4 linked regions of the Lonchura striata genome follow. The protein of the gene in region 2 interacts with the protein of the main gene of each other region in a pairwise test. Links are inferred from orthologs where the notes say so. Each region holds a gene or a part of one and is shown on either strand. Other genes may lie near its edges.

Region 1 (7,221 bases), on a different chromosome or scaffold from region 2:
TTGTGTAAATGAGTGATCCCCAAAAGCTGCTGAGGGCTCCCCTGCCCTCCTGTCCCAGAGCCAAAAATGCTCCATGCGAGGGTGGCTGCTGTCCCTGTCCCGTGTCCCCGTGTGGGCAGGGCTGCTCGCAGAGGGGAGGGCAGGCTGCCCCTCCTCTCTCTCCTCCATCCTTCCCCCACCACGCCTTTCCCATCCCTCTGGGGGTGCCTGCTGCCTGCCCCATCCCTCCCAGCTCACAGCCAGTCCTCCCAAACCCCCCAGCCTTTCCCCTGGCCGTGTTCAAGCTGCAAAGCTGAGGTTTCACAGGAGTTTCTGCTCGACTCATTCTCCTCCCACCCGTCCCAGCCCCAGCTGGGAATGCGGTGAAGGCAGGAAAGAGTAAATCCATGTTTGAGCCCAGCCCAGGGGGAAATTCCCAGCTAAAGAAGAAGTTCTGTGAAGCAAAATTAATTTTCCAGGGCTGCACTGTGCTGGTGGAAGGCCCAAGAGTTCTGGGCCCTAGGTTCTATCCACTTCCATGCTGTCAAAATAAACTCAAACAGCTGGAAAAGCTGGACAACTTCAGGGGAATCCGAGCTTTTCAAAAGGAGCACAAGCTCACCCATCTTCCCCCACTCTTGCTTTGCTTGAATTCCAGTGGGGAAATCAGCGTTTTTTTCCTGCTGGGGGTGTCCATTCTGCTCCTCAGGCACCCGGCAGGATGGAGCCCACCAGGCGGACCCCCCTGCAGCCCAGGCAGCCCAAAATGCGCAGGGAGAGCTCCGGCTCAGCTTCTCCTGCGGGGGTTCCGCCGTGCCCAGGAGATGGTGCTCTCGGACGGGCTCTGGCACCGGGGAGCCGAGCAGGGAGCGCTGGAGGGTGCCCAGGTGAGGGGGACAGTCCCCAGCAGCCGCCCCTGCCACCGGCATCGAGGGGACCTGCTCTTCCTCCATGGGGCGAATGCTTATCCCACACAAGGAACAGCTGGCTGTGACCCCAAACAGCTGGATGTGCCCCCAAACAGCTGCCTGTGACCCAAACCCTGATGTAACCCCAAACAGCCCGGGGGTCCTGCCCAGCCCCAGACCCTGCAGCCCCTCCCCGGGGTCGGGATGGGGGGCAGCAGATCGAGGGGGAGCACGGCCCGATTGTCCCCTTGCTTGTCACCGTGCCCCGGTGCCCACCCAGCCCCGGTGGGACTCACAGCAGCCCGAGGAGAGCCTGGCACTGCCCCTGTGACCCTGGCAAGCCAGCGCTGCCACCCCAGGGACGCGGTGTCCCGGTGTCCCCAGGCACTGCCCGCCTCCCCCTGGCTGCCCTCCCGCCAGGCAGCTCCCTCCAGCCTCCTGCCAGCAGGGAAGGTGTAGAAACCCCACAGTTCCAGCAGAAAACCCACTGGGATTGGGGTTTGGAGCCTTTTGCCCAAGCGGGATGCTCCCCGTGGCTGCCCAGGGGTGTCAAGGTTTGGGTTTTTCCTTCCAGCCCGGCTCCTGCAGGGCTGGGATTGCAGAGATGCTCCTGCCTCTAACGGGAACACGCGCAGGGCAGCTTCTCAGCCCGCAGCAGCACAGAAAGAAAAGCTCAATAATACCGAATACCCAACATTTAATGGTATTTCCAATCATCTGAAAACACAGTGCTGTGAGTGCAGAGTTTGCGGGCAGAGCTGCTGCAGCCCCTCCAGGGTCACTCCGCTGCCAGCCCAGGTGGGTTCTGGGCAGGAGGATGCTCAGCACAGGGTGGCAGAGGGCAGGAGGGCTCTGTCCCACGGGCTCCGCTCTGCATTTGGCTGCCTGCAGTCAGAATAAGGGAAGGATATTTATATTTCTATTAATAGAAATAAGGAAAATATATTTGTATATATTTATATTTATATATTGAGTCTGCAGTCAAAATAAGGGAAGAATATATTTCTATTTCTATTTCTATTTCTATTTCTATTTCTATTTCTATTTCTATTTCTATTTCTATTTCTAGTTCTAGTTCTAGTTCTAGTTTTAGTTCTAGTTCTAGTTCTAGTTATATAGTTGTAGTTATAGTTATAGTTTAGTTATAGTTATAGTTACAGTTATTTATGATTGTATTTATATTTATTTATAGTTTTATGTTTATAGTTCTATTTATATTTATCCTGCAGTCAAAATAAGGGACATCAGGAAGGATTTCTGCCCTGGGAGGGTGGTCAGGGATTGGAGCAGGAGGCTCAGGGAAGCGGTGGCACCACCACCCCTGCAGGTGCCCGAGGAACACCTGGAGGTGGCACTCAGTGCTCTGGGCTGGTGAGGAGGTGCGGCTTGGGCACAGTTTGGATTCCACGGCCTTGGACAACCCTCCGAGACGGAGATTAACGAGCAAATCGCCCCTCTTCCCCGAACAGCAGCCCCAGCGCCGATTTCCCCCTGCCCGACCTTCCCAGCCGCCTCTCCTCGCTCATCCCCAGCTGCAGCCGCATCTTGAGGGGCCGCACGAGTGGATCCGCAATTCCCAGCCCATAAGCCCTGCCCGGAGCCCCTCACCCGCCCTGTCTGCCCCCTGGGTCTCCGCAGCAGTGCCCGCAAACCCTCCCTGGCCCCCACGCACTGCGGGCCGCCCGCAGCTCCTCCCGCACCCTTTTTGGCCGCAGCCCGCGTCTCCCGGGGGTCGCTCGGGGCGGGTTTGGGGGGGCGGCCGGCGGAGGCTGCGGCAGGAGCCGCTTTGTGCGGCCGCTAATGCTGAGCGACGGCTCCTTTGTGCTGCCCGCAGCGCCCGGCCCGCGGCGGCCGCGTGGGAACAGCCCCGCACACAAAGGGACAGCGGGGCCACCTCCGAGCGAGCATCCCCCAGAGCGCTGTTAACCGGGCAGGCAGCCCGCACCCCGGGGAACGCCTCCCGCAGCCCGGGGAACGGAGCCCGCACCCCTGGGAACGGAGCCCGCACCCCTGGGAACAGCTCCCGCACCCCTGGGAATGCATCCCGCACCCCGGGGAACGCATCCCGCACCCCTGGGAACGCCTCCCGCACCCCTGGGAATGCATCCCGCACCCCGGGGAACGCCTCCCGCACCCCTGGGAACGCATCCCGCACCCCTGGGAACGCATCCCGCACCCCTGGGAATGCATCCCGCACCCCTGGGAATGCATCCCGCACTGCTGGGAGCGCCTCCCGCACCCCTGGGAACGCATCCCGCACCCCTGGGAACGCATCCCGCACCCCGGGGAACGCATCCCGCACCCCTGGGAACGCATCCCGCACCCCGGGGAACGCATCCCGCACCCCTGGGAACGCAGCCCACACCGCTGGGAGCGCATCCCGCACCTCCCGCACCCCGGGGAGCGCAGCCCCGCCTGGGCCCGGCCGCTGCCCGCCGCCGGCTGCCGGAGGAGGCTCCGAGGCAGAGCGGCGCTCCCGGGGGAAACAGGCGCGAGGAGCGCGGGCTGGGGGATGGAGTCCGGGACCCCGAGGGATGGATGTCCGTGACCCCGAGGGGTGGAGTCCGGGATCCCGAGGGATGGATGTCCGGGACCCCGAGGGGTGGAGTCCGGGATCCCGAGGGATGGAGTCCGGGACCCCGAGGGATGGAGTCCGGGACCCCGAGGGATGGATGTCCGTGACCCCGAGGGATGGAGTCCGGGATCCCCAGGGATGGAGTCCGGGACCCCGAGGGGTGGATGTCCGGGATCCCGAGGGATGGATGTCCGGGACCCCGAGGGATGGATGTCCGGGACCCCGAGGGATGGATGTCCGGGATCCCCAGGGATGGAGTCCGGGATCCCGAGGGGTGGATGTCCGGGACCCCGAGGGGTGGATGTCCGGGATCCCGAGGGATGGATGTCCGGGACCCCGAGGGATGGATGTCCGGGACCCCGAGGGATGGATGTCCGGGACCCCGAGGCAGGGCCCGTGTCCATGCCCGTGCCTGGTGTGCCCCCGCCGGGGTCACCGGGGACAGAGCGGCAGAGAACGGGCAGGGGGCAGTTCCCGAAGGCTGCAAAGGAGGAGGGCGGGACCACCTCACCCCGGGGGCGGCCGGCGGGGTGGGGGCGAGCACGGGGGGATCCCCTCGCCGTGCGAAACGGGGACCGGCACCGGCACCGGGCACCGGAACCGAGACCGAGACCGAGACCGAGACCGGGCAGGGGCAGCGGGCAGCGGGCACCGGCACCGGGCACCGAGACCGAGCATCGGCCACCGGCGCTGGCCACCGGGCACCGGCACCGGGCACCATCCAGGCCCCGCCCGGTGTGACGCCGGTGCCCCCGCCCCCGCCGGCTCTTGCATCACGCGCCGGCCTCGCCCCCCAGTCCCCGGATGAGGCGGCCCCGGCGGGCGCGCGCGGCGGCGGCTGTGGCAGGGGATGCGCTGCGGTGAGCGGCGGGCCCGGGGCCGGGCGGGGGCACCGGGCGGGCCCGGCCAGCGGGGCCCGGCGCGGCGGGCGGGGGGCGCGGGCCGGGCGGGCGGCGGGCCGGGGGCGCCGCCATTGGCTGCCAATTGACAACGGGGCACGGCCCGCCCCCGGCGCGCCATTGGCCGCGGCTGCGCCGCCGCCGCCTCCCATTGGCTGCGCGCGGTGTCAGTCACGGCGCGGCCCCGCTCGGCCGCCGCCCTGGCCCCTCCGCGCCGCCGGGAGCGGGGCCGGCCCGGCCGCACCGGGGCTCGGGGCCGCACCGGGGCTGCACCGGGGCCGCACCGGGGCCGCACCGGGGCTCGGGGCCGCACCGGGGCTGCAGCGTGGCTCGGGGCCGCACCGGGGCTGGGAGCTGCACCGTGGCTCGGGGCTGTCCCGGGGCTCGGGGCCGCTCCGGGGCTCGGGGGTGTCCCGGGCCCTGCCCGCCGCTCTGCCGGCCTCGCCCCCCGCCCGGGCGTTTTCCCGGCACTGGAGCTGGCCGCGTGGTCCGCCTCTGTTGCTGGATGCTCCGCCCGGGGCACAGCGTCTTTTCCGGGAGGAAATTCCTGCCGGAGCTGGTGCTGGGGTCGGGAGCGGGCAGGGAGGTGGCGGTGCAGTCGTCACCCCTGGATGTGACGGGCGGGCCGGGGGAGCTCGGTGCCCTGCTCGGGGACCGGGGCTGTTCGCTCCCAGCTGGGACCGCTGGCCTCCGGGTCCTGCCCTGCCCTGGCCCTCTGCGCTCCCGGGGGGTTTGTCAGGAATTCCGTCGGTAATTCCACCGGCAATTCAGTCGGTAATTCCGCGAGGGTTCCTCTCGGCGGTGCCTGGCCTTGCTGGGAGCCCTGTGCGCTGTGTCCGGGCGTGCCCAGCCCCAGCAGCCCGTGCCCGGTGAGCGTGACCCGAATTGCAGCCGACGTGCGGGAAGGATGCGCTGGGAGAGAGCAGCGACACTGCCCAGCCTGCCCGGTGACCCACCGGCACATCCCTGTCCCTCCCGGGAGGAGCAGGGTTCTCCTCTCCCACCGGCACATCCCTGTCCCTCCCGGGAGGAGCAGGGTTCTCCTCTCCCACCGGCACATCCCTGTCCCTCCCGGGAGGAGCAGGGTTCTCCTCTCCCACCGGCACATCCCTGCAGGGTTCTCTCCTACCCACAGCCCGCTCTGTGCTGGGAGTGACTCAGGGTTTCTCTCTTCTCCCTGCCTTGACTTGCTCACAAGTGCAGGGTCTGGATGCCTCTGGCATTTGTTGCCTGAGAGGTGGTTAAACACAAGAAATTGCTACAGAAGAGTTCCTTGGATACTTCAGAAAATTTTTTTTTCTTCCTTTACATTTTTTTCCAAACCCCACCCCCCACAAAGAAATAATTCCTTGTTGAGGAAGGAATTGTTCCTGCTGAGAGCTGGTGGCCTTTCCAAGGTCAGTGTTTTGTTAGAGATATCAGCAACTGTAAGAGGAAGAAGCTGTCCCAAGGCAGAAAAGAGACTGGGAAGCTTTTAGATATGAAAAGGTGGTGGAGACCCCATCCATCCATCCCTGGAGGTGTTCAAGGAGCTCCTGGGATGTGGCACTCATTGCCCTGGTCTGGTTGACAAGGTGGTGATTAGTCAGAGGTTGACTTGATGATCTCAGAGGTCTTTTCCAACATGAATAATTCTGTGCTTCTATATTTATTTATTTAAATGCCAGTTTGACGTGTTTGCAGCGTGACTGCACAGGCAGGCTGGCTGATGGTGCCAGTTAACTGTGGCAGAGCTGGGTAAGGAGTGTGGATCTGGCATTAATAGTGTTAGCTCTGCCCTAGAAGAGATCCCCTGTCCTGTTTCCTGGCTGGGCTGTGCATTTCTGTATTGTTGTATATGTGGAGGCACAGCCCTGGTGAGAAGGTTTAATAATTTAATTAAACTTGTCACTGGGAGTCCCAGAAGTGAAGGAAGTGTTCAGGGGCAGTGTTTGAGTCAGTGTTTGAGTTGCCTTCCTTCCTCCTCAGGGGAAAACCCTCCCTTTTTTCCCCCTGACTCTTTAGAGTTTGCAGATTCGTAAGATAATTCCTCGTTTGGTGGAGGACGGAGAAGAGAAAGGAAAATAGGAAAGTGGAGAGAAAGCACGGGGCTGATGATGTCTGTGACCTTGGTGTCACAAGGAATCTTGTCTGGAGACGCTGCTGGCAGCAGACTGCCAGGAAGCACAGCAGCAAAGCACAGTGCATGCCCTCAGAGCATTACAGTTGGTTTTTTGAGGTGCCAGGAAAGTCAGACTGCAGAAAGGAAATGGTATTTTTGCAGCCCTTGATGTCTGTGGCACCACAAACAGAATCAAGATAAAGTGGGGAGTGTGTTCACAAACTGCCTGCTCTGCTGTGCTGCCCTCACCCCCAGACAAAGCCAGACCCACCAGAGCAGATTTTTCATGATGTGCTTGTGCCCCTCGAGGGTTCTTCTGTCCCCAGAACTCAGTGGAAGGTTGTGCTGGTTCCTTCTCCTAATCAACACAGAGATTAGGGGGTTATTTTTAATATTCTGTTAACATTCTGTTTAATATTCTGTTCAGAACCTCTCTCTGCTGGGGGCTGGTCTGTGATCTATTTTGGGGGGTATTTTTCAAATCCATTTTACCCCCCCAGCACTGGTAGAACTTCAGAGCTGTAAAAGCAGCAGAATTCAGTCCTTGTGGCAGAAATCCCTGCTGAGTGCTCTCCCCTTGGAATTCCTGGGTCACTGTGTGGTGTCAGAAGTGTGTCACCCTCTGGCCACTGCCTTGCCAGGAGGTGCTGTCATCGGGATGCTTTGGATTGCTGGGGTGACCTGGGGGACCTGGAGCTGTCCCTGGTGCAGGTGTCCCTGCCAGGCTGGGCACTGCTGCTGCCTGGGATGCCCTGGCAC
Region 2 (7,932 bases):
CTGCTGTGTCCCTCTTCCTCGCTGCTCTTGGCCCCTTTCCCTCACTGCATTGCAATGACTCATCCTTGCTGAGCTCACCCGCTGGAGCTGTGGGAGGGCTGGCAGGGCAGGCGCCCACCAGCCCCCAAAGAGGGTCCCTCAGCTGGTAGCCCCTCGCCGTGAGCCACAGACCTCTGGTCAAGGTGTGCAGGCACTGGGGTGCAGCCTGGTTTCACCTTTCTGAACCTTGGCTGGCCATAGGGCAAAAGGGGGAGAAGGCTGGACAGGGGACAGGCAGGCCTTGCTGCGGGTCTGGCTATGCTCATTTAATGTCTGCTGGGGAGATCTGGACAGGGAAAACAAAGTGTGGATGGGGAAGTGCAAAGATGATGCTGGGCAGAAACGCAGTGCCTGGTTCCCCAGCTGGGTGCAGTGCCAGCCAGGCTCTGTGCAGTGAATCAGACGCTGGTGACGAGGAGCAGACGCCAGAGCATTGTCTGTGCAAGAAGGGCAGCCTGCACCACCGAGTGCCCACACCCATGGGGCAGTGGCCTGGCTAACTGCCTCTCTCTCCCCCTGCCCAGGTTCCCCTCTCAGAGACAGCCCCCACCAGGCACCTCAGCAGCGAGATGAACCCCACCGTGGGCATCGCTGTCATCCTGACAGGTACATCCCTCCCTGCTCCCTGCTCGGCCCAGAGCAGCCTGGAGGCTGCACGGGCACCCCCAAAGCTCGCTGATCCCTGTCCAACCCCTTCCTGCCTCTCCCAGTCCTCCAGGCCGCCCACTGCCAGATGATCAAGGACCTGAGTGCCTGCCTGCTGGGCCAGAACCTGCGCGTGGACTGTCGCTATGAGAACAAAACCGACAACCCCCTGACCTACGAGTTCAGCATCACCAAGGACAACAGGAAGCACGTCATCCACAGCACCATCAGCGTCTCCGAGAACATCTACCGGAGCCGAGCCAACGTCACCATGCACAAGAACCTGGTGTGCCTCCACCTGCAGAGCTTCACCACCAGCGATGAGGGCATCTACATGTGCGAGCTGAAGGCCACCAACGACTACACCGGCAACCAGATAAAGAACATCACTGTTATCAAAGGTGAGACAGGCAGTGGCACCTGGCCTCAGCCCTTCCCACCTGCTCCTTGGCTTGGCAGGGCCAGCAGAGAGCACCACAACTCCCTGTGGATCCTCAGGGAGGATCTATAAATGTGTCCCAATCATTCAGGTGCGCTTCGTCTCACAGATGGGTTCACTCTACTCCATCTCACACCACTTTTCCTGCCTCTCTTGAGTCCCACTTCAGGCACATTGCCTTGATATCCTCCCATGGAGAGGACAGTGGGGATCCTCCACACCTACAGCCCACAGGATCTGTCCTCCAGAAAGGGGCTAAGAGACCCTTGTCTCACCTGGTGCCCACCCACTTGTCACCTCAGTCAGGCACAGGCAGGGTTATGCTTCTCAGGGTCCCAAAAAGTCTTTGCTACTACATTCCCTCCATTGGGAGGGAAACAGGCCAGGATGGGATGTGCTGCACTTCTGTGACAGAGCAAAAGCACAAAGCTGTGTTCCTGTACCCTTAGAACTCCCAGCCTGAGCCCCATTCCCGAGGGATTTCATGGCCTCTCTTCTCTCCCTCCCCATTCCTTCTCCTCACAGACAAACTGGAGAAATGCGCCGGCTTCAGCCTCTTGATCCAGAACACCTCGTGGCTCCTGCTGCTGCTCCTTTCCCTGCCTCTCCTGCAAGCCGTGGACTTCGTGTCCCTGTGAAAGGCGAAACGCACACACACACACACACACACACACACACACACACACTCACAGCGCTCGCACACACACGCACGCACACACCGAGCACCCCAGCCACCCCGCCTTCCTCGCAGCCCCTGGAAAGAGAAGCTGAAGCGTCTGGAAGCCGTGAAACCTCTCTGTGTTATCTCTATTTAGCCGTATATTTACGCTAACCACCGTCCCGTGCCGAGGCCCACCATCCCACGCACACGCGCCCCGCTCCGAAGCATGGTGGCTCTGCTAGGCAGCGTTGCTTCTCCCATCGCTCCTCCCCGCTCCGTAGGCTGGCTGGTTTGCTTGTGCTGGGAGCACTGGAGGCCTCAGCCTCGCTTGTCCCATCCCTTTAACTCTTGGGGTTTGCCTGTTCTCAACTGGGGAAAGACAGCTGGATTGGCAGGTAAGAGAGGGGGGTGATGCGAGAGCGTGCGGAGGGTGCCCGTGGTGGGTGCTGCGCCCGTGGCCCCTGGAGGTGACAGGGCTCTTGGTGTCCCCACCCGCCCTGCCTGCCTCACCCTGCTCCTCTCACCCTGAGCTGCCACGGCTGGGAGAGGGCACAGAATGACTCAGTGAATGGGGAGCCATGGGACGCTGCTGGGCCTGGCAGGCTGGGAGGAGAGAGGGGAGCAGGTCTAGGAGACACCATGAACCCCCCCTGCCTCCTTAGGGCTCCTCTGGGACCCTGGGAACGGGCTCAGTGCAAATGTGCTTCGGCAACAAGTTTTTCCTAATCTATTTCTTACAGCTGAGCTGGAAGTGAGGCCTCCTCCAGACACCATCTGGTACCTTTGGGCTGCCCAAGCCAGAGACACCACTCGCTCTCCCCAGGGACCAGCCCTTAGCTGTGACGAGAGAATTGCTGCCAGCACCAGTGGAGGCAAGCAGAGCCTCTCTGAGCTAGCCACAGCCCCACTGCCCTCCCCAAGCCCTCAGAGCTGTGCCCGGGCTGGCTGGTGAGGAGGGGGTTCCCCTCTGGGAGCGTGACCCCAAGGTCTCTGCAGGGACTCCTCTGTAGGGGCACTTTGTCTTCCCGAAGGGAACATCTGGAGCTATCCCCAGCCCTTCCTCATGGAGAGGCAGAGCAGTCTTCCTCAAATCCCACTGTGCTCCTGGGAGGAGCCCGTGTGCCCCCTCCCCTCTCCCTCCTCCCTTTCAGCATTTCCCCGTCTCCCTTTAAGAGCAGCAAAGGACCGAAGGGCAGCCCACAACCTCAGCAAGGCCAGGATGGTGCCAGGGGTTGGCGAGAGCAGGGACAGGGATGGCCAGCACAGCTCAGATCTGCCAGCCCAGGGCTGCCCACGGGACCCCGAGGAGCCTCACCCAGGGGAGGGCACAGGGAAAGGAAGAGGCAGGAGCATCCAGCTGTGCCACCCGTGCAGCCCGGGCTGTGCCACCACGGCTGAGAGCAATACACAGCAGCTGCTCCCCACTCCTTGCTCCTCTCCAGAGCTGCTTCCTACCCCCGTGCCCATCCCCTGCCCATCCCTGCCTGCTTGCTTGCTGTCTAGTGCTGCTGAGGCCGTGCCCAGCTGAGGCCTGGCTGTGCCCAGCTCCCTGGGCGTACTGGTGAGCGCCGGGGCAGGCGCAAAGCCCAACGGCAGAGCGCGGACGCGGCTCGAGTCTCATTTTTTTGTGAACATTTGTAGTTATTTCCACAGCTTGTCGTCAAAGAAATTCTGTTAAGGGAAAAGGGGAAAAAAAAAAAGGAAAAAAAAGAACCCTATGAAAAGCAACAAGAAAAAAAAGACCACCTTACCATCCAAGGAGTGTTTCTCTGTCTGCACAATAAAACCCTACCTAGGTTCTGTGTTGGAGCCACGGGCGCCGTGTGTGTGGCACTGGGGATGAGGGCTGTGTGGGGCTGGGCACCAGGACCCTGCTGAGGGGCACAGCCCCCCAGGCAACCCCCATGTGCCTCCAGCACCCCAATGTCTGTGGGAGAGGAGCAGGCAGAGGGGCAAGATGTGGCTTCCCTGGGCAGGGCAACCCCCTCCTGCCCATCTGGAGTGAGGCCCCCTGCTCCCAGACCCTTTGTCCCCATCCCCGTCCCTAAACCCCCAGCTCCATCCCAGACACCATGGTGGCAGGGAGGCACAGCAGGGGACCAGGTCTGGCCCTGGCCCCTCCATCCTCTGGGGAGGGAATTGCCAGGGATGGAAGTGGCCATGGGAGCGGGGCTGGGTGTGCACATGTCCCAAAGCTCCTGTGCCCATCACACGTGGGTCCTGCTGGGGCTCCTGTGCCCATCACACCAGGGTCCTGCTGGGGCTCCTGTGCCCATCACACCAGGGTCCTGCTGGAGCTCCTGTGCCCACACACTGCCTGGGGGCTGCCAAGGCCTCTCATGTCCTTTGCAGCAGCCATACACTGCCCTGCCCAGCGTCAAGATGCCACCCTGGCACCAGGAGCCACCAGCAGGACTCAGCCACCACCCCCTGACACCATTGGTGACCCTGCGCCACCTCCCAGAGTGACGCCCCGACGCGCCCCTCCCTGTTTAAGGGCTGGAGCCAGAGGGAGGGAGGGAGGAAGATGCCACCCTAATTACATCCCTCCCCATTATCCTCGGCAGGTGCTCGCTGAGTCACGGCCACGCAGGTGCCGTAGCCTGGGCGGGTCAGGCGTCCCCATGGATCCACGAGGGGCGGCCACGCCACGCCAGCTGCCCCACACCCACCTTTGCTGAAGGTTTAGTGGGCTCTTCTCCCTACAGCTCATCCCAGGGGGGGGCAAAACCCAGTCCAGCTCCTCCCCTCACCCTGATGCTCTACTCCAAACCTTGCTGGCAGCCACCAACGCCCCTTTTTGTGCCTCCCTGCCCCACACGCACCAAGCGGTGTTCCCACCACCGCTCCCTCCCTTAACCCTCCCTCTATCCTTCGCCTCCTGGACCTCGACCTGCCTCCCCAAATCTCTCCGTCCCTCACGCTTACCCTTAGTCCTGCTCCACCCCGCACAGCCCCCGCAGCCTCCCCTGGCAGCACCCCCTTGCCGAGGGCCACCAGCCCACCCGGGCTCGCGTCCCCTTTAAGCCTCCCCAAGCTGGAATGCGAGAGGAGCATTTCAGCGCCCTGTGAGGTCAGATAAAGACACTATATTTATCTGCCTGGTAACCCGAGCCCTGAATTTCTGCGGTGGTGTTTTTACGTGGCCCCACAGCCCTCGGGCTCGGCCCCCTCCGGCCACTGCGCTCCCTCCCAGCGTGGAGGGGCTGAGCCGGGGGCGTCCTGTCCCCTGCGAAGGGTTCGGCTGCTGCCCATCTCCGGTGCCGGGGCAAGCTCCCCAAGGAGGCAGGACCAGCGCCGAGGGCATCACCGAATGCCTGGCTGGTCACCCCTCGCCGTGTCCTGAGCAGCCATCGGCCACCCGTGCCACATGCAGGTGAGTGCAGGTGGGGACACGGCCCCGGGGAGGGGGACACGGAGACAGACAAAACTGTCCCGCTCTTCCTGCAGCCGGATAACAGCCCGGGGGAGAGGTTTCTCTCCAGGGAGAAGGTTCTGAGTTCACACACAAAATCCTGCCTTTGAGCCACCCTCCCCGGCACCCTCCTCGTTCCCCAGCGTGGGCAGAGCCTCCTGCCCGAGGGTCCCTTCTTTTTTTTGGCACGCACAGACTCAAAGCAGTAATTCATGCCCTGGGTCTTACGTCAGGGTCCCCCGTGGGTTTGGGGTTTTGCTGCCTGGGGGGTGGCCCGGGAGCAGCAGCAGCAGGCTCTGCAGCAGGGTGGGGATGGGTCAGCAGCAGGGAGCGGGGCCAGGGTGGTGACTCCCGGCTGTGTGGGGTGAGCCTGGGGGTTCCTCAGGCCCAGGGCTGGCAGGGGAAGGACCCTGGCCAGGCTGGGTGAGTCACCTTGGGCAGGGCTTGTCACTTTGTGGGGTGGGAGTGGTGGGGAACGCAGGAGCCAGGCTGTGCCAGAGGCACTGCAGTCCCCATCTGTCGAAAGGGTCACTCCTGTCCCCTCCAGGGAGCAAACATTTTGTGGCTCATTCCCTCCAGGGCTGCTCGGGGTCAGCCTTCCTAGAGGGAAATGGATACCTGGAGGGATTCTGTGCCTTGTTTCCCTTGGGGAATGGGCAGGAGGCTGTCCCACCTCGCTCAGCTGGACACAGAGCCCCTCAGCCCCAAAGCACTTGTACTCTGGAGCGTGCAAAGTGCCTCACACAGGGTCCCCTCTCTGCCTCCACCACGGCAGAGTCCCGGGAGCCCCCACGTAACCTCAGGCCGGGACATTGTGTCTCAGGGGACGGCTCTGAGCCTGCGTAAGCGAGAAGCAGCTGTGCTGTGACACCTTGGATGGAGCCAGCGCTGTGTAAGCTGAGCCGAGCCCGCTCTGGGGCTCCGTGGCCACCGAGGGGGACAGCTGCCACCGGGCACGGGCAGGACAGAGGGGACACCTGCCACCGGGCACGGGCAGGACGGCAGCTGGGGACAGAGCAGGCCTCTGCTTTTCTGCCTCAGAGTGAGGGTTTTGCCTCCTCACTTTGAGCTGAGATTCCCAGGGAGGGCAGGGCAGGACTCCCCAGCGCCCCGAGCAGCCCCGTGTGTCCCGCTCCCGTGTGGTGGCACCGCTCCCGCCGGGCCCGTGAGCGCAGACCGGACATTCCTGTGCCTCAGCTTCCCCTGACAGCCCGGGAGGATGATGAGGGTGCAGGCGGCCTGACTCAGCCGTGCTGGCCCCAGGGCTTTGCCAGGCAGCAGGAAAGCTCAGCACAATGACGGGTAGGGAGGGGCCAGGCAGCCCAGGAAGCGCTGGGAGGAACCGGGGTTTTCTCACACCCCCTCAGCTCCTCTGGCTCCTGGCACGCTGTGCTCTCCCACCGCCCTGGGGTCCGCTCGGATGTGACATGGGGACCTGGAAGCACAGGCAAGCCTGGCAGATGTGACATTCCTCCATGGTAAGGCCTCTCTTCCCAAGGAATGGGATAGCTCCCGTGGCCGGGGCCGGTGCCCGCTCCTGACCCTGCATCCCTCCATCGGCTGCTCCGCATCCCCAGGGCAGGTGCTGCCCTGTGGAGACCTGTCCTGCTGCCAGGAGCACCTGCTGCCCTCCTGCTCCCAAACTTGTGCTCTCCTGGCACTGCCGGTGCCAGGAGAGAGCGTGGGCACCTGGCAGGGGATGATGGCATGGGGCTCTCCTGGCACTGTCCCAAGCCAAGATCATCTCTGCTGGCGACGAGGATGGGGAGTAGGGGCAGTCCCTGTGCCAGGCTGCTCCGTGCCCCAGCAGGGCAGGCAGCCAGGCATGTGCTCCCTGGGAGCCCAGGGGCTCCGTCACTCCCATCCTGGCACTCAATGCCAGTCTCCTGGCTGGGGTCCCACTCCCTGTCCGTGTCAAATGCCGACTGGCAGAGCCCCGCTCCTGGTGAGGGCGGCCGCAGCCAGGCTGGGAAGAGCCAGGTGTTCCGTGGCTCCCGTGCCCGGGAGCAGATTATTCACCCTTCAGCCTCCGTCCCCAAACAGGTCTGTGCGCTCCACCTCGCTGCTGCTTGTAAATATTTCCCTGTCCGCGGTGGGACGGCTGCTCCCTGGGCAGCAGCAGCAGCGGCCGGGACAGAGCCAGGCTGCCCGTGGGAGCCCACGGGGGCTGCTGCCGTCCCTCACCGCCCCTCCCTGAAGCATTCCCGGGGCGTTTCCACGCGGAGCCCGCGGGGCTCGGAGCAGGAGGCTGTGTCCCCGCAGGGCCAGGCAGGCGGTGACCCGCGGTGGCTCCTCGTGCCTCGTCCCCAAGCCCCGGTGGCACCCTCGGTGCTGCAAGGGACGGGCCAGGCACAGGCTCCGGCACCTCCCGGCTTGGAGCCGGGCCAGAGCCCGCCCCGGCTGGGCTGGGAAAAGCCTTTGAATCAGGGTCATCTCCCGGGTGACTGGAGACTCTCGGAGCCACATGAGCCACTGTCCTGCCAGGGAAGGGACACCAGTCACCCCGGGAGCTGAGCACCAGCAGCGCCGGGGCAGAGGAGCTCGCCTGGGTGCTGCCTGCCCCAGTGCCACCCACAGCCCCAGCACAGGTAGGGATCCAGCCATCAGTGCCGGCATGGGCACTGAGGGCAAACTCTCCTGACAGCCCGTGTTTGGGGACTGCTGGCTGCCACGCTGCCATCCCTGCTCTGGGTTGGCTCTGTGTGTGCTCTGGGACCTCTGTCCCTGTCTCTG
Region 3 (7,342 bases), on a different chromosome or scaffold from region 2:
CACTTTGGGGACACCTTGGGGACATCCTTGGGACACCGTGGGGAGAGCTTGGGGACATCTCTGGGGACACACTGGGAACAACCTGGGGACAATTCCTGCCACCCCAGGTGGCTCCAGCCGTGTCCCTGTCCCTGTCCCTGTCCCATCCCTGTCCCTGTCCCTGTCCCTGTCCCTGTCCCTGTCCCCATCTCTGTCCCTTGTCCCCATCCCTGTCCCTTGTCCCCTCTCTGTCCTCCTCACTGTCCCTGTCCCTTTCTTGTCCCATTTTCTGTCCCTGTCCCCTCCTGTCCCCATCCCTGTCCCTGTCCCTGTCCCCATCTCTGTCCCTTGTCCCCTCTCCTCTGTCCTCATCCCTGTCCCTTCTCCCTTTCTTGTCCTATTTTCTGTCCCTGTCCCCTCTCCCCTGTCCCCGTCCCCATCCCTGTCCCCATCCCTCTCCCCTGTCCCTGTCCCCTTCCCTGTCCCCATTTCCTCTCTTTGTCCCTTGTCCCCTCCCCATCCTTGTCCCCTTCCCTGTCCCCATTCCCATCCCTGTCCCATTCTCTGTCCCTTCCTTGTCCCATTTTCTGTCCCCATCCCTGTCCCCTCTCCCCTGTCCCCATCCCTGTCCCCATTTCCTCTTTGTCCCTTGTCCCCTCTCTCATCCCTGTCCCCTGTCCCTTTCTTGTCCCATTTTCTGTTCCTTGTCCTCTCTCCCCTGTCCCCATTCCCATCCCTGTCCCTGTCCCCATCCCTGTCCCCATTTCCTCTCTTTGTCCCTTGTCCCCGTCCCCATCCCTGTCCCCTTCCCTGTCCCCATTCCCATCCCTGTCCCATTTTCTGTCCCTGTCCCCTCTCCCCTGTCCCCGTCCTCATCCCTGTCCCTGTCCCCATTCCCATCCCTGTCCCATTCTCTGTCCCTTCCTTGTCCCATTTTCTGTCCCCATCCCTGTCCCATCCTGTCCCCGTCCTCATCCCTGTCCTTGTCCCCATTCCCATCCCTGTCCCATTCTCTGTCCCTTCCTTGTCCCATTTTCTGTCCCCATCCCTGTCCCCTCTCCCCTGTCCCCTTCCCTGTCCCCATTTCCTCTTTGTCCCTTGTCCCCTCTCCCATCCCTGTCCCCTGTCCCCTCCCGAGGCCGGGCCCCGCCCTCCCGGGAGCTTTAATTACCCGGCCCAATTAATCCCGGCCTAATTAATCCCGGCTAATTGGCTGGGCTGGGGAGGATTTGCTGCAGCACCTTCCTTGTATTAGCTTGAATTGTGCTGATTTATGGTAGCTTCATTTCTCTTTCATTCCATTTATTTATTATCTATTTATTTCTATTTCATTACATTTATTTATTCTAGGATGCATTTATTTCCGTTTCATTCTATTTATTTATTATATTACGTATTCATTTCTCTTTCATCACGTTTATTTATTATTTATTTGTCAGAAATTACAAATATTGGCTTTGGGCTTGGGGTGGTAACTCCTGCTTTGGGAGTTATTGTTCAATACAACCCGATTATATTTCTTTATTATTAAATAGGATAATAAAATATTAATAATAATATTATATATATTATTATATACTATGATAATATTAATACAATATATAGTTAATATATAATGTAATGTAATATATAATTAATATAAACATATAGTAAAATATAATGTGATTATAATAGAATGAAATATAGTATAATATAGTATAATGTGAAAATTATAAAAATCAAATTTCTGCTTTCTCAGAATTGTAAAAATGGGGGGAAATGAGCTGCCTGTGCCTTTCTGTCCTGGGATTTTCCTGAGCAGCAACTCAGGGTAATTCCCACCCAAGAAAAGGGAAAATTCACTTGGAAAAAAGAAAAAGTGGCTCAGAAAAGCTGAAATTTCAGCTTCTCCCCCCTGAGCCGTGGCCTCACCTCGGCAATAAATAAATTCAGCGGTTGAAATTTGATTTATGACATTTTTGGACAGAGGGAGATGTGGAAAAGGTCGAATTAGGACAAAAAAAAAAAAAAAAAAAAGCAGGGGAAAATCCTTTTGAGAAGCTAAAGAAAGGGAAAAGGAGAAAAAATGGGGGGAAATGGAGGGGAAGGCTCCGGCCAGTGAGGAATAATTTCAATTTTCCTGGAAAAGCAGCAGCCCCAGGGGCACGGGGAGGCTTTAATGAGCTGCTTTAAACAGAAAGTGGAAGGTGAATTTGGGGTATTTTTAGCGCTGCAGGATTAATTTCTGTAAAGCCGCACAGAAAAGTGGCTCAGGGGCCGTTCTGGAGGGGAACTTCGAGCATGTGTGGGGAAAAAAAAGGAATTTTGGGTTTAAAAGCAACAGCTGGGGACAGATTTTGGTGTTTATTGGAGATTTTTCTGCTCCTGGAAGAGATGGGCGATCCTTGCAGGAGTTTGCATTTCAGCGGTTTAAATTGAAATCCTGAATTGAAATCCTGAATGGAAATATTGAATTGAAATCCTAAATTTAAATCCTACATTCAAATCCTAAATTGAAATCCTGAATTGAAATATTGAATTGAAATCCTGAATTGAAATCCTGAATTGAAATATTGAATTGAAATCCTGAATTGAAATCCTGAATTGAAATACTGAATTGATATTACCACACCTGGGTTATCACTGGTATTATCACACCGGGGTTATCACACCCAGGTTAGTATTACCACACCCGGGTTATCACACCCAGGTTATCACACCTGGGTTATCACAGGTGTTATCACACCTGGGTTATCACTGGTGTTATCACACCCAGGTTATCACACCCGGGTTTTCACTGGTATTATCACACCTGGGTTATCACACCGGGGTTATCACAGGTTTTATCACACCCGGGTTATCACTGGGGTTATCACACCCGGGGTTATCACACCCAGGTTATCACACCCGGGGTTATCACACCCAGGTTATCACTGGTATTATCACACCTGGGTTATCACACCCAGGTTATCACAGGTGTTATCACACCCGGGGTTATCACGCCTAGGTTAGTATTACCACACCCGGGTTATCACTGGGGTTATCACACCTGGGTTATCACAGGTGTTATCACACCCGGGTTATCACTGGTATTATCATACCTGGGTTATCACACCCGGGTTATCACTGGTGTTACCACACCCGGGGTTATCACACCTGGGTTATCACTGGTGTTACCACACCCGGGTTATCACACCCGGGTTATCACACCTGGGTTATCACAGGTGTTACCACACCCGGGTTATCACACCTGGGTTATCACTGGTGTTACCACACCCGGGTTATCACACCCGGGTTATCACACCCAGGTTATCACACCTGGGTTATCACAGGTGTTACCACACCCGGGTTATCACACCCGGGTTATCACTGGTGTTATCACACCCAGGTTATCACACCCGGGTTTTCACTGGTATTATCACACCCGGGTTATCACACCCGGGTTATCACTGGTGTTACCACACCCGGGTTATCACACCCAGGTTAGTATTATCACACCCGGGGTTCTCTCACTCATGTTCGTGCTGCCAGGCTGGAATTCTGGATTCCAGGGGTGAGTGAGGGGGTTTGGGGGGCAGAGGGTTTTGGGGCTCAGGGAACCCCGAGGATTCTGTCCCCGCTGTCCCGGGGGTGGCACCGGGCTCCTGTCCCCGCTGTCCCGGGGGTGGCACCGGGCTCCTGTCCCCGCTGTCCCGGGGGTGGCACCGGGCTCCTGTCCCCGTTGTCCCCGCCGCCCCGGGGGTGGCACCGGGCTCCTGTCCCGCCGTCCCGGGGGTGGCACCGGGCTCCTGTCCCCGCCGTCCCCGCTGTCCCGGGGGTGGCACCGGGCTCCTGTCCCCGCTGTCCCCACCGTCCCGGGGGTGGCACCGGGCTCCTGTCCCGCCGTCCCGGGGGTGGCACCGGGCTCCTGTCCCCGCTGTCCCGGGGGTGGCACCGGGCTCCTGTCCCCGCTGTCCTCGCCGTCCCGGGGGTGGCACCGGGCTCCTGTCCCCGCTGTCCCCGCCGTCCCGGGGGTGGCACCGGGCTCCTGTCCCGGCAGGTGGTGCTGCCGGCGCCGCGAATAAAGTCGGGAGAAGAAAAGCGGCCAAACGTGAGCGGGATGGGGCGGCGGGAGCGGGCAGGGAGCGGGTAGGGAGCGGCGGGACCGGGCAGGACCGGCGGGACCGGGCAACGCGGAGCCCGGGCCGCGGTGCCCGCGGAGGGAACGCCCGGTGCGGGGGGACAAAAGGCGTGGACAGGCACCGGCTCCGTCCGGCCGCTCCCTGCCGGGCCGGACGGAACCGGGCAGCGGGCGGAGAAGCGCCGGGGCACAGCCCGGAGCGCCCGGGGCCGCTCCCGGTGCCGGTGCCCATCCCGGGACCGCTCCCGGTGCTGGTGCCACTCCCAGAACCACTCCCCGGTGCTGGTGCCGATCCCGGTACCGCTCCCGGTGCCGGAGCCACTCCCGGGGCCACTCCCGGTGCCGGTGCCGACCCCGGTACCGCTCCCGGTACCGCTCCCGGGGCTATTCCCGGTGCCGGAGCCGCTCCCGGGACCACTCCCCGGTGCTGGTGCCGATCCCGGTGCCGGAGCCGCTCCCGGATCCATTCCCGGTACCGCTCCCGGTGCCACTCCCAGCACCACTCCCCGGTGCCGATCCCGGGACCGCTCCCGGTGCCGGAGCCGCTCCCGGAGCCGCGGAGCAGCAGCTGCAGCAACGCTTCAAAGTGAAATTCCGGAGGAAATTTAAAGAGCATCCGGATCCGGAGAAGGACAGAAAGAAAGAGGAAGGGGAGAAGGAGGAGGAGGAGGCGGCGCGGGAGGATCGCGGCCGCCGGGGATGGGGTGAGACCGCCGGGCTCCGTTCCCGTTCCTCGCCGGGCTCCGTTCCCGTTCCTCGCCGGGCTCCGTTCCCGTTCCTCTCCGCTCTCCGTTCCCGTTCCTCTCCGCTCTCCGTTCCCGTTCCTCTCCGCTCTCCGTTCCCGTTCCTCGCCGGGCTCCGTTCCCGTTCCTCTCCGCTCTCCGTTCCCGTTCCTCGCCGGGCTCCGTTCCCGTTCCTCGCCGGGCTCCGTTCCCGTTCCTCTCCGCTCTCCGTTCCCGTTCCTCGCCGGGCTCCGTTCCCGTTCCTCGCCGGGCTCCGTTCCCGTTCCTCGCCGGGCTCCGTTCCCGTTCCTCGCCGGGCTCCGTTCCCGTTCCTCTCCGCTCTCCGTTCCCGTTCCTCGCCGGGCTCCGTTCCCGTTCCTCGCCGGGCTCCGTTCCCGTTCCTCGCCGGGCTCCGTTCCCGTTCCTCTCCGTGCCCACGGCCCGGAGCCGCTTCTCAGGCACGAATTCAAGGCTTGATCGGCGCTTTTTTGGGGGTTTTATTTTTTTGCCGCGTTGCGAGCTGGAAAGTTTCGCCTCGCCTTTAATTTTTGGGGCGGGGAAGCGGAGAACGGCGAGCGGCCGCGACTCGTGCACGGGCGGCGCCGGGAACTTCCCGGAGTTCGGAAATTGGGAATTCCTCGGGACTGCGGGCGGGAAGATGGAGCCGAGGCGGTTCTGCCGGGACGGGAACCGGGGAGAGGGAATTTGGGAGAGGGAATTTGGGAGAAGGAATTTGGGAGAGGGAATTTGGGAGAAGGAATTTGGGAGAGGGAATTTGGGAGAAGGAATTTGGGAGAGGGAATTTGGGAGAGGGAATTTGGGAGAAGGAATTTGGGAGAGGGAATTTGGGAGAGGGAATTTGGGAGAAGGAATTTGGGAGAGGGAATTTGGGAGAGGGAATTTGGGAGAGAGAATTTGAGAGAGGGAATTTGGGAGAGGGATTTTGGGAGAGGGAATTTGAGAGAGGGAATTTGGGAGAGGGAATTTGGGAGCGGGAATTTGGGAGAGGGAATTTGGGAGAAGCAATTTGGGAGAGGGAATTTGGGAAAAGGAATTTGGGAGAGGGAATTTGAGAGAGGGAATTTGGGAGCGGAAATTTGGGAGAGGGAATTTGGGAGAGGGAATTTGGGAGAAGCAATTTGGGAGAGGGAATTTGGGAGAGGGAATTTGGGAGAAGGAATTTGGGAGAGGGAATTTGGGAGAGGGAATTTGGGAGAGAGAATTTGAGAGAGGGAATTTGGGAGAGGGATTTTGGGAGAGGGAATTTGGGAGAGGGATTTTGGGAGAGGGAATTTGGGAGAAGGATTTTGGCAATGGGATTTTGGGAGAAGGAATTTGGGAGAGGGATTTTGGGAGAGGGAATTTGGGAGAAGGATTTTGGCAATGGGATTTTGGGAGAAGGAATTTGGGAGAGGGATTTTGGGAGAGGGAATTTGGGAGAGGGATTTTGGGAGAGGGAATTTGGGAGAAGGATTTTGGCAATGGGATTTTGGGAGAAGGAATTTGGGAGCGGGATTTTGGCAGTGGGATTTTGGGAGAGGGAATTCGGGAGTGGGATTTTGACAGTGGGATTTTAGGAGAATAATTTTGGGAGCGGGATTTTGGCAATGGGATTTTGGGAGCGGGATTGTTTTTTTTTATTATTTTCTGTTTTCCTTATTTAAAAAATTCTATTTTCCTTTTAAAGATTTTTTCCTGTTTTCCTTGATAAAATTTTCCCTTTTCCTTTTTTTTTTTTTTTTTAATAAATTTCCTATTTTCCTCTTTTTTTTTTTTTTTTTAATTTTCCCTTTTCCTTTTAAAAAAAAAAAATGTTATTTTTGGACTAGCTAGAGGGAGCGATGAGGCAGGAACCAGCAGTGACAGAAATGTGAGGCTGGCAGAAGCCTTTGAAGCTGGCAGGGGATGTGCTGATCCAGGTGAAATCCCTGTGTCCCTGTTTTCTCCTGCCATCTGCAAAGTCGCTGGAAAACCCCCGGAGCCGCCTGGAGGAAAATTTGGGATGCAGGAATTGTTGCTGTACCTGGAATGATCTGGAATTCTCGCTGGTGGGGCAGCAGAAACCATTGCCCAGCCAGACGGTTCCACCCCAAAATTCCTGAATTCCCATTTCACTCCTGAGATTAAAGGGTGGCCTTGGAGGTCCCATGGGGATATTGAGCAGCAGAATTTCCTTAAATAACTCTGGAATTCCAGCAGAATTTCCTTAAATAACTCTGGAATTCCAGAAGAATTTCCATGCCTTAGAATTCCAGCAGCATTTCCTTAAATAACTCTGGAATTCCAGCAGAATTTCCTTAACTAACTCTGGAATTCCAGCAGACTTTCCTTAACTTTGTAATTCCAGCAAAATTTCCTTAAATAACTCTGGAATTCCAGCAGGATTGTCTTAAATAACTCTGGAATTCCAGCAGAATTTCCTTAACTAACTCTGGAATTCCAGCAGACTTTCCTTAACTTTGTAATTCCAGCAAAATTTCCTTAAATAACTCTGGAATTCCAGCAGACTTTACTTAACTAACTCTGGAATTCCAGCAAAATT
Region 4 (7,372 bases), on a different chromosome or scaffold from region 2:
ACGGAGCGGGGCTGGCTCCCCCGAGCCGGGTGCCGGCCCTGCCCACCGCCGGGTGATGGATGGGGAAGGTCTCATCGCTGCAGCCCTGCTGCCTTCTTCTCCTTGATTTCCCTGGGGGGTTCACCCCCAACATCAATAACCCCCCCCTCGCCAGCTGCTCCCCTGTGTGGGACCGAGGGATCGCGATGTGGGGCTGCCCGTGGTCACCTCAGCCCCAAAATATGCCGGTGGGGTGGGCAGGGGGTGCAGCAGGTGGAGGGAGAGGGGATTAGGGCTGGGGAGGTGGGCGCTGCCGGAAGGGGGTTAGCGGGATGCCCAGATTAGCATCTCCGCCGGGCCCGCAGCCTAAAGCCGCTGTGCGCGCAGGAAACAGAGAGTCTCGTAAATAGACTTTCCGTAATCCTGTTTGGTGGAGTCGCAATCCGCCCGGCCCCGGCTCTCCCGACCTGTGGCACCGGGGTGTCCCCCTGCAACACCTGGGGAGCCCCAGTGCAGGGCACAGCGGGGCTGCTGCAGGGCTCGGAGTGTCCCCCACGCTCTGTCCCCATCTCGGGATGATTTGGGGACAGGTCCCCCCTGAGCCCTGCAGAGCGGGAGCAGCAAGCTGCTGTGGCCACACTCGCAGGTGGCACAGGCTGTCCTGGGGACCCAGCCCAAGCCCCCGAGCTGCCCTCCCTGATGGACCCTGATGGGGTCACCCCTTCCCGGCACTGCCACGAGCCTGGGGGTCCCTGGGGCTAATTACCCAAATGGCCGCAGGCTGCCGCGGGGCGGCCGCTATTCCCTAATACAATTTACCCTCAAGTGCAATTTAATTTTCCTCCAGGCCGGTGGCCAGCCCCCCGCACACCCAGCCACCTTCCCACCCCTTCAGTGCTCGCTCCTTCCAGCCCTGCCCGACTTCCCTTTCCCTGCTCGGCACAGGGAAGAGCCTTTCTCCACCGGCATCCCGTCTCCACACGCGCCGCAGCCATAAAATCACCGGGGGTCCGCTGAGCGCCGATTAATTTTCAATTACAATTAGCAACGCCCCTGCCTGCGAGGGGAGAGGCTTTCCCTGGCTGCTGGTGAGTACCCGGCTCTCTCTCGATGTGCTTGTCCTCGCTCCAGGCCGGTCCTGCAGTAGGGATGGAAACGGGAGGGGGTAATTATTGGGATAATTCAGATTATTTATCTGGGGGGGCTCGGGGTACTACGGCCGATGCTGCCCAGGGGGGAGGTGGCCTCATGCCAAAAGGGCATGAAGCTGTGGCAGCTTTGGACTTGCAAGGATGTCCCCACTTTGGTCTGGAGGAGCAGGTTTTGTCACATGAGGGGACTCGGAGCTGGGCTGGCACCGGGCAAACTCTCTGCATGAGTGGCACAAAGCCTCAGCTCCCTGGCACCTCCAAATCTGTTTGGGGTTTGCTGACTGGGACAGAACTGCACTCGCAGCCCCCAGGCATGAGTCAGGACCTTATAGTTTCCAGTTTTCCTTATATTTCCTTATATTGCTTTACATCTCCCCAGTTCTGCCTAGAAACCCCCTTGTTGCACCAGGGGACAATGCACTGATGTCCCCCTCGGTGCCACAGTGTCCAAACCAACCCTAATTCTAATGTGCCCAGGGCTGGGGCACACACGGGGAGGCTGGCTCTGTGTTTTGTCACAGGCTCTGGGATTTACCTGCATTTTATTAACGATGAATCCCAGCAGGGAAGGTGTGGGAGCAGCATCCCTGCTCGTCTGTGGGTTTTGCATCATCTCCTCACGCTGCTCGTGTCTTCCTCTGGCTGCAGGGCCGGAGGGCTCCAGGCAATGCCAAGGAAGGAGCAGGGCATCTGTGTGGGGCCAGAGCCCCCCAAAAGTGCCCCAGAAATGCAACCTGATGAAAATCGACATTCACCCTTCTGCAGGATGGTCACCATGAGCCATAGCTCTGATTTAGCTCTGGGTGGAGGAGAAAGCCTGGAGGGGGAACATTTCACACCCACCACATATAACCCACTCTCTCTGGGCACCACCAGCACCCAGCAGCGTTTTGAGTGGCACAGAGAGGATTTACTGGGCAAGAACCTCATGCCCATCTGAACCGCCCTCTCCTTCCTGTGACATGGGAAAAACAAACTCAAAAGAGACCAGGAAGCCCAAAGTGATCTAAAAAATCCCTAAAGAGACCAAGAGATCTCCACCAACATAAGGAACAGATGGACAGCAGGAAGGATGGAGGGGAACAAAGCCGTGCTACCAAGGAGAGGAAGGGATGAAGGCGCTGCTGGGAAGATGTGTGAGCGAGCACAGGAAGATGCTGGTGGGGTGGTTTTTTTGGTGGTGGCAGCCCCCCGAATCCCTGCCTCTCCCCCGGCTTCCCCAAGGTGAAGGCTCGGTGCTGGGTGGCTCCTTTTGCCCGCTCACCACTTCCATGAGTGATCCAGTGCAGGGCAGAGGGGGCTGGATCAATCTGGCAAAGCAGAAAAATGAATGAAAATTGAATTCTCCGAGGAGAAGGGGGTGGAGGGAGCTGTTATCCCGGCTGAGAGATAAATCAGAGCGTGCCAGAGAGCTGGGAGAGCGCGGTGACTCCCAGCAGCGCTGGAATAATTAGGGAAATAGGTTGGAAATGCAAAGCAGCAGGACAGGGCAGCGATGGGGCAGGGTCCGTCTGTCCCTCTGTCCGCTCGTCCGGCTAAACTTCTCCCGTAAATCTGCCTTAGGGACCTGCCTTTCTGTGCGCTGGGGCCCCGCTGTGGCTGGCTGGCGACTGGGGGGGCACGGGGGCCCCCTCCCCAAGGGGCTGCGGAGCGCAGGTGGCCGGGGGCGACGGGGGTCTGGCCGTGCTTAATGCACTTAAGAGCTGCAGCGTGATTTAGGGGATGGGACGGGATGGGATGGGAGGGGTTGGGATTCACCTCCCTGTGATGGGAAGCAGATTATGGCGTTCGGTGAGCTGCAGGGTGGAGCTCACTCCGGTATGAGCGCACACCGGTCTCTGCACAGAGCTGCCATGTGAGGAGGACGGGGGTTTGCTGGTAAAAATGGAGCTTTGAGGGGGTCAAACCCCAGCATCTCATAGAAAAACTTAATTTTTTTCCTAAGGAACCATCAGTCTTAATACATTTTTTAGGGTTTATTGCTTTTATTTTTAAACATTTTTTTTCCAGATGCTGGCTTGTCCCATCTGCACATTTTCTGACGGAGCAGGGTTTCAGGATTTTTCAGGTGGGAAAATCCTCTTCCTAGCAGTGTAGAAACGAAGGCTTGGCATGGGAGCACCTGAGCTGAGGGTGGCCATGCTCTTGGCTGGGTGAGCATCTTCCCTCACCTGCCAGAAGCTGCCGTGTGCCACCTCGGGAGCCTCCCCCTGCTCTCTAAGCAGAGCGGGATGGCCCAGCACGTCGGGGCTGTTTGGTACCGCTGTCCCCGAGCTGGTGACACGGTGACCATCGGGAAGGTTGATGCTGGGGGCACCCCCCCTAACTTCAGCTCCATTTCGGTGAGTTTCCTTGCTCGGCCCGTGGCCGCCAGGTACAGCCACATCAGTGGCGGGGGCTGCGTTGTCTCAGGGCTTTCCCTCAGCAGAGCCCCACGGGGATGCTCATGGAGGCCGTAGCCACCTTTGCGCTGTGACTTCAGCATTGCCACCTTGTGCCACCGCGGCCCGGGGCTGTCGGGCTGGGCACGCCGCAGCGCTGCCGACTCGGTGTGTCCCCGGGGAGGCACCATGGGATGGGCCCAGGGATGTGTTACACGCCCTGTGGAAGCAGAGCGTGTCACGGCGGGGTGACAGCAGCTGGGCGACAGCTCGTGTTGGTGCGGGATGTGCCGCTGTCCTGCGGAGCCGGGGAAGCGGCCCTTGGCTAAGGCTCCATTCCCGGCGGCAGGAGGGACAGGGCAGGGGCTGTGCCTGAGGCCAGCGCCTTCCACGGAGCGGGAGAAGGGCCCTGAGTCCCGGGAGCGGAGCGGCCTTGGGGCCGTCCCTCCCTGTCCCCCTGTCCCCCTGTCCCCCTGTCCCCCTGTCCCTCCCTGTCCCCCTGTCCCCCTGTCCCCCTGTCCCCAGCGCCACCGCCGGCCCGGCCCCGCCCCTTCCGCGCAGGCCCCGCCCCCTCGGCCCAGGCCCCGCCCCCGGCGGCGCGGAGCGGGCGCTGATTGGCTGCGGGGGGCCCGGCCCGCCCCCGCCCCCCTGCGGGCGGTGACGTCAGGCGCGCTCCCCGCAGGGGAATGAATGGGAGGCGGGCGGCACCGGCGGGCACCGGCACCGGGACACGGCACCGGGACTCGGCACCGGGACACGGCACCGGGACACGGCACCTCCCGCCGCCGGCCTCCGCCGGCCCGGCCCGCGGCTCTCCCGCCCCTCTTCTCTCCCCTCCGCCGCCCCCCGGGCCAATAAAATGATGCAAAGCTCTGCGCTCGCTGCCGAAGGGGCTGTCAAGGGGCTTCCCGAGATCCTCGGTGTGCCGGTGCAACGTAAGGACGCTTTTCTCTTCTCCCTCCTTCGCTCCCTGCCGCAAAGGCGGCCCCGGGCCGGCGGGGCAGCGCCCTGCGGGTGGGCAGGTGCCTCCGCTCCCGTTCGCTCCCGGTTCTGCACTTTGTGTTTATTTTCCCCGGCGTGTAGCGCCGGTCACGGACGCGAAAATGCGGCGGGTGCGGAAGGGAGAGAGGTGCCCCGGGGCGGGCGGGTAGCGGAGCGATGCGGGCCTGGCCCCGACGGGGAGGACGGCGCGGCTCCGGCTGTGCGTGTGTGAGCGTGAATTCGAGTGTGAGAGTGTGTGTGTGTGAGTGTGTGTGTGTGTGTGTGTGTGTGTGTGTGTGTGTGTGTGTGTGTGCGGCCCCGGCCCCCGCCCGCCCCGCGCATCGCCGACCCGCAGCGCACGACTCCGCGCTTATATCGTTTATCGCGACAGGCGGCGAGCGGCGGCGGTGGGAAGGGGCTCAGGGCCGTGCGTGAGCGGTACCGGGATGGAGAGCCCGGCCGGGCGCCGCGCTGCCCCCGGAGCGATGCCGCGTCTGTCCAAAAATCACCTGCGTGTCTGTGTGCGCGTCTGTGGCCCTGCAGCTACAGGTAGCGTGTCCGTGGGGGTGCGCACAGGCACGGCGTGGGGGTGCGGGCACGGGTGGATGGAGCCCGCTGGGGATGGTGCACCCCGAGGGGGGATGCTGGCCCCGAGCTGTGAGTGAGCCACAGGGGCTGCCAGCCCCTCACAGGGCCGAGCCCCGCGCGGGGGCATCCCGTGGGCACTACGGATGCCCCCTTTGGATGGTGGGGCACGGCCGTGCCCCGGTGCGCCCTGCGGGGGGGCCTCCGCGGCGGCCACCTGCGCGGGTGTTGCTGCTGTTGTTATTCTCGTTGATATTTTTGTTATTATTATCATTTCTTCCGTTTGCAAACCGTTCCCGAGACCGGGGCGTCGCCGCGCTCCCGGAATGGGGGGGACCCCACCGGGGCCAAGAGGGCGATGCTCGACCCCCCCACAGCGGCGCCGAGAAAGTTGAGAGGAGGGGCGCGACGGGCCCGAGGTGCGGGACAGCCCGGCCGGGGTCCGGCCGCACGGGGGGACACGGGGGGCACGGGGTGTCCGCTCCGGGACAGGTTTCCCCCGCCTCCGGCCGCCGCCCCGCGGAGCCCCCGCGCCGTTCCGTGCCCCGCACGGGGCCCCGGCCCCCCGGGCGGCTGGGATTCGTTTTCCCTGGGTTTTTCGGTGGTGCCTCTTCCCGCGGCTCTTTGGGGGATCTGTCGCCGTTATCCCTCGGTTCGATCCCTTTGCCGAGCTGCGGGAGGGTTGAACAGGAGGACCCCGTTTAACCAATTTCACCGCAACAAGGGGGGAAATAAAATCGCGGTCAGGAGCACAGAGCCGGTGCAGGGACAGGGACCGGGACACGTGGGGTTTGTCCCAGTACCGTATCCCGAGTCACGCCGCCGATTCCGGGTCGCTGGGTCACTCCTATGGCCTCGGAATCCCTCGATTTAGGAAAAAAAATGAGATGCCCAAACCACCGTGGAGCAGCATTGCCCCAGCATAGTTCCCTGATCTGGCCCTCCTCGGGCTACCAAATTCCCTTGCCCCTGACATTGTCATGCGTGTACTGACTGATGGATATCAAGAATTAGCAGGAAATAATCAACGAGATTAAATTATTATTATTATTATTATTATTATTATTATTATTATTATTATTGCTATTTGTTTTTCTATTAATGCTATTATTATTAATAATTATTATTATTATCACTATTATACTTATTTATGCACAAATAAAATGGCAGAAAGAAAATAGATGAGGCTGGGCTGCTGAAAATCATCCTTCTGTGGTTTCCCCGCTGCCCCAGCCTGAGCCCTGAGGCCGCTGCCAGCTCCCAATCACCTGCTTTCATGTCGTGATAGATCTGGGGCCTGATCCTGCCTCAGTGACACAAAACTCAGCCCCCTTCGAGCCAAAGGAAACTGTCCCTGGGCAGGGAACCCCTTCCCAAGAAGGATCCAGGGTCTCCCCCCAGCCCCCAGCAGCACCTCGATATTTCATCGTGTGTGAGAGGAAAATCCGTGGCATTTTAATTTTTAATCGCTATTAAATCGCATTTTTTCCTCTCCCTTTAGCCACCAGCCTCATTATTTTAGCAGCGGCTGTGTCCTACAGCATCTTTTTCTGCAGGATTTTGGGGAGGTGAGAAGTCTCCCTCCACCATCCTCCCTCCCCCCCACCCGAAAGGCCTTGCTTAGCCTTGCAGACGGGATTGTTAAAAATAAAATTCCGAATATTATTTATGAATATTGTTTTGCAAATCTCACCGGAGTCAAAACTTGTGCCAAAGCCTGCGGGAACAGTGCCCGGCTGCCGGCAGGCGCTGGCCAAGGGGCTGGAGCTGGGGCAGTGATTAATCGCCGCCGAGAAAGTCGTTTGCCCGCAGCAGAGAAATGAATCGGAAGGTTTTTGCATGCGAAGGAATGAGGTTTCCTCCCCGCAGCAAGACTTCGGGAGGAATCCCCGGAGCGGTGCTTTGCTCGGGCTCGGTGCAGGCTCCGGTCCGGCGGCCCGGCCCGCCTCGGTGCTCCGCTTTCCCCCCGCACTCCCGGGCCCGATCCCGCCTCGGTGCTCCGCTTTCCCCCCGCACTCCCGGGCCCGATCCCGCCTCGGTGCTCCGCTTTCCCCCCGCACTCCCGGGCCCCGATCCCGCAGCACCGGGGGCTCCGTCCCCTCCCCGAGCAGGAGCCGAGCGCAGCCCCGGGGCCGGGGGTGTTCGTGCCCCGCGGGGCCCGGCGGGGAGCGCATCCCCCCGGCGCTGCCCCCGCATCTCCCCCCGCTCCTTTCCGAGGGGTTTTTGCGCTCTGAGCGATTCCTGAGGCCACCGGCCAGTTTGTTTCGTTTCGATCGATATTTCTTTAATTTTTCC

The links.
Region 1: the proteins of USP2 (region 2) and NDEL1 interact in binary tests that used the Homo sapiens proteins (3 or more experiments, as listed by UniProt). The two-hybrid records come from large-scale screens. The link is inferred for Lonchura striata from reciprocal best matches to the Homo sapiens genes USP2 and NDEL1.
Region 3: the proteins of USP2 (region 2) and HOMER3 interact in binary tests that used the Homo sapiens proteins (3 or more experiments, as listed by UniProt). The two-hybrid records come from large-scale screens. The link is inferred for Lonchura striata from reciprocal best matches to the Homo sapiens genes USP2 and HOMER3.
Region 4: the proteins of USP2 (region 2) and LHX4 interact in binary tests that used the Homo sapiens proteins (3 or more experiments, as listed by UniProt). The two-hybrid records come from large-scale screens. The link is inferred for Lonchura striata from reciprocal best matches to the Homo sapiens genes USP2 and LHX4.

What each region holds. Positions count from the first base shown.
Region 1 is NC_134621.1:1,235,529-1,242,749, reverse strand, and holds the start of NDEL1 (nuclear distribution protein nudE-like 1), read left to right. Parts: upstream 1-4,218; 5' UTR 4,219-4,322; intron 4,323-7,221. UniProt on the Homo sapiens protein: Required for organization of the cellular microtubule array and microtubule anchoring at the centrosome. May regulate microtubule organization at least in part by targeting the microtubule severing protein KATNA1 to the centrosome.
Region 2 is NC_134625.1:9,111,144-9,119,075, forward strand, and holds the start of USP2 (ubiquitin carboxyl-terminal hydrolase 2), read left to right. Parts: upstream 1-4,924; 5' UTR 4,925-5,160; intron 5,161-7,932. Other genes in the region: THY1 (thy-1 membrane glycoprotein), read left to right, coding at 609-645, 750-1,085, 1,649-1,761. UniProt on the Homo sapiens protein: Hydrolase that deubiquitinates polyubiquitinated target proteins such as MDM2, MDM4 and CCND1. Isoform 1 and isoform 4 possess both ubiquitin-specific peptidase and isopeptidase activities.
Region 3 is NC_134630.1:7,419,492-7,426,833, reverse strand, and holds the start of HOMER3 (homer protein homolog 3), read left to right. Parts: upstream 1-4,328; 5' UTR 4,329-4,782; intron 4,783-7,342. UniProt on the Homo sapiens protein: Postsynaptic density scaffolding protein. Binds and cross-links cytoplasmic regions of GRM1, GRM5, ITPR1, DNM3, RYR1, RYR2, SHANK1 and SHANK3.
Region 4 is NC_134611.1:2,296,764-2,304,135, reverse strand, and holds the start of LHX4 (LIM/homeobox protein Lhx4), read left to right. Parts: upstream 1-4,355; 5' UTR 4,356-4,370; coding exon 4,371-4,446; intron 4,447-7,372. UniProt on the Homo sapiens protein: May play a critical role in the development of respiratory control mechanisms and in the normal growth and maturation of the lung. Binds preferentially to methylated DNA.